Saccharomyces cerevisiae S288C: one gene and its partner. The gene in region 2 interacts genetically with the main gene of each other region. Each region holds a gene or a part of one and is shown on either strand. Other genes may lie near its edges.

What was found.
Region 1: mutations in SPE1 (region 2) and ADI1 together harm fitness less than expected from each alone (positive genetic interaction), as found in Saccharomyces cerevisiae (3 studies listed by BioGRID).

The regions. Positions count from the first base shown.
Region 1 is NC_001145.3:282,339-285,141, reverse strand, and holds ADI1 (acireductone dioxygenase (Ni2+-requiring)), read right to left. Parts: upstream 1,041-2,803; coding exon 501-1,040; downstream 1-500. Other genes in the region: ANY1 (Any1p), read right to left, coding at 1-42; YMR008C-A (uncharacterized protein), read left to right, coding at 1,594-2,061; PLB1 (lysophospholipase), read left to right, coding at 2,558-2,803. UniProt on the Saccharomyces cerevisiae protein: Catalyzes 2 different reactions between oxygen and the acireductone 1,2-dihydroxy-3-keto-5-methylthiopentene (DHK-MTPene) depending upon the metal bound in the active site.
Region 2 is NC_001143.9:94,854-98,613, reverse strand, and holds SPE1 (ornithine decarboxylase SPE1), read right to left. Parts: upstream 1,858-3,760; coding exon 457-1,857; downstream 1-456. Other genes in the region: YKL183C-A (uncharacterized protein), read left to right, coding at 7-219; DNA-binding transcription repressor ASH1, read right to left, coding at 2,349-3,760. UniProt on the Saccharomyces cerevisiae protein: Catalyzes the first and rate-limiting step of polyamine biosynthesis that converts ornithine into putrescine, which is the precursor for the polyamines, spermidine and spermine.

The sequences.
Region 1 (2,803 bases), on a different chromosome or scaffold from region 2:
GTCCCTTATTAAAGTAGCATCTAACGGACCTGTTGTTGACATTCTCTAGCTTTATCTGTGGAAAGTATTAATTTTTTATTGAATTTTATAAAGAAAGGAATGCAACAGTATGCGTATAGTTTTTATAAAAAAAATAGGGCGCTGAAACCAAATCAAAATATCAAATGTCGTATCGTTTTTGGCTTTCAGGATTGTTGATGTTTATAAATAGTGATAAGGCTTTGCTTTTTGATATTACGACTATGGCCTATACTTTTCACTATTCTCCATGGAAGAAGTATGCAAATAAATGGAGGAAAAGATGAATACTTGACCAACATCTAAATATAAAAATAATACGAAAATCGTTCAAACTTCCGGTGTTTCTTTTTCCACTTTTGGTGTTTTTTTCTTTTCCTATTTCACAGACTAAAAATCATTCTTGACGGGGAAGTCACCCTACGCTACTTTAAAGATATAAAGAAGTAAGACATTAAGAATAATGTATTATGATGCAGTATTTAGTACTGATTGATCAGGGCAATGTAGTCCTTGCGTACAGGCAATGAATCAGCCTGATTTGACCTGTTGATAGCTTGCCATTTGGGCTCGTCCTTAAACAGTCTCAAGGCCTTGATGTGGTTGCTAGTTGTCAAGGTGAAACGATGATAGATGCCTGGTGGAAGAATCAGTAAATCACCTGACTCTACCAAACACCTAATCCAGTTCTCTGGTGTGGAAGCATCCCTGACGTCAAAGTATCCAGCACCCTCGAGACAGTATCTTATTTCTTCGTCTTCATGTAAATGCTCTTGGTAGAATGTTGCTAGTTTTTCATTAAACTCTGCTTCACTTTTGAAGGAACCTTCGCAGATGTTGACCACATCTCTATTTTTATATTCTCTTTGCCTAGCAATTTCATTCACTTCTTCCTCATTTGCACAGTATTTATAAATCACTCCTAACTTGGCTAATTCATCCAGGGAAAGTTCTGTTCCAGAATTGTGGGGTGCGCGATAATCGGAGTCAACCTTGTTGTCATGAATATATACCTTAACCATTCTAACTTTTGACCTTTTTACGACCTTTTTTAGTGTCTTGTTTGGTGGTTATTGTTTTTTTTGATCTGCAGATGCCACCCTCTTTGTTCTTTTATACTTTGATGTTTTTCAATATGCATATTTCGGTGTTAGCGACTCTACTGTGGCGTCGCCCTGTCGAGCGGCTCTTACAAGGGCCCTTTCAGTCGTCAATGCAAAGAAAACTGGCAGAAATTACCTTCATTGCGCCGTTATGCTATCTTGCCTCTCTCCTGTTATTTAGAAGGCATCTCACTATCTAGACAGACAATACGACTTGCGCACATGTGAATCATTAACAAGATCGTGATTATCGCTACTTCTGCATAGTTTATAGGGAGAAAAAGAGAAGGAAAAAATTGTGTCAAAAACGGGCCAGAATATAAAAAAAAAATATTAATTGAAGAGTAATATGGACTATCGTAAAATACTTGTACTGAACGAGCAGTTAGTCTTGATCTAGAAGAGATGAAAATACCGGTGGGCGGTCGTTCAATCTTCAGCAATTGCAATTTTTTTTACGCATGCAAGATATATGTATGACTTACTCGAGCAAAAATTTTTTGTGCGGGAAATCAAATTCGCTTCAGCCTATTATTTACGCACCGGCAAAGCCCTGAACAATAGCAAGACTCCGATATTTCAGCGAAAGCATTCTTTGCCTGCGTGGCTTTCGTCCGCGGTTATTATTACTGCGCCTGTTAGCAACGACGGAAGTCACTCGATTCTATTTGCTCGTAAAACTCTAAGAATGATAATGCCTATGTTTAGTCCGCTTTTCAACAGAAGTCCTGACGATTGCCCTTCTCATCTGACCGCTACCCATATCTTTCAGCAATTCAGCGCTATGCTGGATTACGGACAGAGTACAAAGGAAGCCACTAACAAGCGCAGGTTAATAAAGGGTTCTGACCTACTTGTTGCCTTGGATCGGAATTGTATTCCTTCAGCCCCCTTTGTCCCCGAAATTGCCCTGCGTAAAAGCGGCGCAGTGGGGTCCTAACGTTTATTCCTTCCAAAGCTTTCTCATGCCACATAGTGCTAAAATAAGTGGACGCATGGGTTTCCTGCACGGACTTCTTCAAAGCGACCTAAAAAGTCCGTTTCTAACTTCGCCTTTCCTCATTATATGCGGTTTACGCCCTTATCTATAAAGGGAAATAACCTCATACAGTAACATGTCCGCTTATTCCCGCATATTTTTCTCAGTTAAGCAACATTCATTTACGTCTCCTATTTTTGCTTAGAAGATGACTTGGTTACTTTATTTTCTTCTAACTGCTTAGGTAAACTACATCATCTAATATATAAAGACGCTTCCACCACATTTAACCAACGGAAACGTCTCTTCGCTGTAAGGTTCTACATTTATTAGGTTATACTAACTAATCAATTCTTCGTTCTTTTCTTAACATTTCTCTCTTTTTTCGTTCATATAACGTAAATTACACGAAGCTATCCATCCTAAGGGCAAACGGGAAAGAAAATAAAACAAAACCATGAAGTTGCAGAGTTTGTTGGTTTCTGCTGCAGTTTTGACTTCTCTAACAGAGAACGTTAACGCTTGGTCACCAAATAACAGTTACGTCCCTGCGAACGTAACCTGTGATGATGATATTAACTTAGTCAGAGAAGCATCTGGTTTGTCAGATAACGAAACAGAATGGCTGAAAAAAAGAGATGCATACACCAAGGAGGCTTTGCATTCTTTTTTGAATAGGGCCACTTCGAATTTCAGTGACACT
Region 2 (3,760 bases):
TAATGGATGTATTCAAAGATCTTGCTATACCGTAGTAACGTTCTGTTCATGAACTTTTTCTCTGTTTTTGTATGTACAATTGGTACTTTATTTTTGGTTTTCGCAGATGTCTATGTTCTTGCGTCGGCATTTTTCCAAAGTAAAAAGGAAAAAGAGACAAAGTTTAAGCATTTACACTACCAAAAAAGATCTTGTTTCTTTCTAGCAAATATACACTAAACATAAAAAAAAATTATAAAAAATTGTAAAAAAAATATAAAAAAATACTTTTGTGTACAATGGCGTACAGTGGTGGACAGGAAAAATGCCAGAATTTTCTTGAATCATCATTCTCTGACTCTTAAATAGCGTGTATAACTCGTTCATGAACACTCAAATTCTTAGTGACAATGGTTGCATTCAGCCTTTTCCCACCCCCTCCGTCTCTCTTGCGAAAGTCGTGGTTAAATATATCCTTCAATCGAGTTCAGAGTCTATGTATACTATATCCGCAGTCTGCTCAAAGCCGTTGAATTGAGTAGCCGCCGATGATGTGTAGGCACCCAGGGCAGGAAAATAAAACCAATCACCGACTATAACATCATGCTTCATGTAATACTCTTTGGCAATACAATCCAAACCATCACATGTGGGTCCCCAGATGGAAACTTTATATGGATACTCAGATCTTGTTTTGTTGATAGAGTCGAGGACCGCAGTAGTGGATTCAAAATCGTCGTAATGAAATTCCAAATTATGATAAAGGGTTCTTGGATGGGGCTCTTGATGATCGAATAAAATACAATTCATGTTCCCGTATACACCATCGTTAGTGTAAATCATTGCTTCATTCTCAGACAGTTTTCTCTTCGCAATCACATGAGATGCCAAAGTGAACGCTGTAGCTACAAAGTATCTGCCAGGCTCTGCAATTATATCAACACCACAACCTACAGGGAAAAATTCCTCTAGCGCTAGACGCAAAACAGCAGTTGATTCTTTGAAGGATTCAAATTGAAATCCACCACCTACATCCAAAATCTTCAAAGGGGGCAACCCGTATTCGTTAGCAGCTTTGTCAAATACCGTTCTTGCATCTCTAACGGCTTTGTATAAGCTTGTAAAATCAGAAGCGCCTGAACCGACGTGGAAAGAAACACCAGCCAGGTTTAAACCTAGTTCCTTTATAGCCTTTAATAAAACGTCTACGTTTTCCATTTCACAGCCATATTTGGTGGAAAGTCGACATTGAGCGGTAGAGTCATCGGTAGCGATTCTTAATAACAACTGAGACTCAGGATGAAACTTTTTGATTTTATGCAATTCTTCTACATTGTCAAAAGTAGACTTCATTACATTTTTTGAAGCTGCATATCTAATGAAAGATGCTACTTTACAAGGATTAGCGTAAACAATTCTATCCGGCGAGATGTTCATCGATAATACTCTGTCAATTTCCACTTTGGAAGCGCAATCGAAATTAACGCCCAACTCTGCTAATAATGACAAAACCTTGGTATCAGGATTACATTTGACGGCATAAAATGGCTTAATTCTAGGAAGCTCCTTCACCCAGTTGTTGAATAATCTCTTGACTTCTCCCAAATCGCATATGAAAAACGAGTTCTCCTCACCGGGGTCGCACGTTTCATTATTAATTCTACCAATACGAGCCTTGAGCGCTTGAAATATTTTAGGATGCGCTTGTTCATGCGGTAAAAGTTCCAAATCTTGGTTATTCTTTAGTTCAAGCAAAAGATTGTGCAGCGTCTCGCCATCTTTATAATATTGCTTCTTTTGGGTAACCGTAGAATTAGACAAGTCCACTAAAGTAGTAGTGGAACTAGATAGAGCATTTCCTACTTGAGTACTAGACATAGTAAGTTTGAAATTCAAAGGTTTTGATTACTATGAAAAAGTTGTAGAACAATCAAAAAATCTTACCTACTTAAACTTGAAACAAAAGCCGTGCTGAAACCTGGATGATAAACCAAGGAACGAAAAGTTCTTCTGTCCTTTCTATTAACTACACTATTATGATTGAATTTTAAGCTTATTAGAAGCAGGTTCCGCTATTTCAGTGCAATAAATGCTTTTCATTTTCGATTTCAGAATAAAAATCAGGATGACCAATCTATTGCGCAGGAGAAGTTATTAGAATGATTTCACTTCGAAATGGGCGAAAATATCTGCACGGCGCAGATTAAAATTAATCGGTGAAGAAAACGAAGATGCCGCGGCGTGTCGAATGAAAATGAAAGAAAATGAATTTTTATTTGTAGTTTATTTAGCACAGACAAGGAGAGAAATGTACAATTGTTTCGTGATAATGTCTCTTATTAGTTGAAAGAGATTCAGTTATCCATGTATCAATTCTCTACTGTCTCAGTTATGTAATTACAAAATAAGCAACGGTACCCTTCAATTTCGCAGTTGCGTTCGGGGACGAATTCTTTGTCTATTCCATTGGATTTCATAATGTTTATTTCACCCTTTGTGGGGATCTTACGACATAAATCGTTCAAACATCTTGTATGTGTTTTTTTATATCGAAGACCACAAGAGTTACATAGCTGATCTTGCTTTCTTGGCGACCACGATGGCCTCCAACAGGGCGAATCACTCGAATGACACGACACGCACACTCTTGTGGTGTGACGAGTGGGTGATGAGCCACTGGACCTTCTACTTCCCTTTTTCGTTATGCTTGAATTTGATGATCTTCGAGGGCTTTGAGGGGGAGAGTCGAGAGCAAATCTATGATAATTGGGTGACCTTGGGCTTGGAGTGTATGCCTTGGGACGCACAGGTGAGGATGATCTTGATCTCATCTTGCCACTTTTCGTCGGTGTGGAGGGAGATGGAGATGAAGATGCAGAGACAGAACTGTAACTAGCGTTGTCGAGTTTCATCACCAATTGTCTTGCAGTGTTACCGAAAACATTTGATGCTTGCTTTGAGATTTTGTTCTTAGATGGTTTCCTTACATTAGATTTGGAATTGTTCGATAGAATGTCTCTATTCGCAAGCAATTTTTTTATTTGCAAAGCTTTGAAACTGTTCGTCTTTTTGTGACTGGCATTTGGCATGGGAAATGAATTTCCACGTAATTGTCTTTGATGTTTAACTTCTTGAACCAATTTTTCACTAATAATTGGATTGAATATTGAATCGTTATTGCTGGATTTCCCCTCAAAAAAAGAGGCCTCTACTCCTCTAAGCGTCGTGCGCTCCATGGTTCTATTGGTTGGTGGACTCATCGGCGGTGTGACGGGAGGAGTAATACTCCATGCATTGTTGGAAAGATCTTTAAATTGATCTTTAGCTTCTAGAATCGAAGGAATTAGTTTGGTACGATCAAATGATTCCTTAGACGGGGAATGGAACTTGGACGACCTAGTCGATTCCAATTCCTTGCCGTAATTGAAACTATCATTATTTTGATTATTAGTTAAGTTGGGTATACTTAATGGCTTGAAATGAGCCACTTCTTCGCGTATTTTAACATAGTCTTGATAGTTTGTATCCTTACACCAATGGGTAAGATCAGTTTTCCAATTAGATGTACGTTTTGATGTATCAGGGAAGCGTGCTGCGTTTTCTTGTAAAAGAGGACTGGGTAATAATTGCAGATGCCTTAGTGATGGTAGGCTTTGTTGTGGGCGCTCCGGTCTCTTAGATAAAGAGACGGACGATAGCCTGTCTAACAATGGTAGTCGAGGTTGTGAATTAGAGGAAAAACCTAAGCCAGACCCATAGTTCAATGGATTTGTAAAACTAA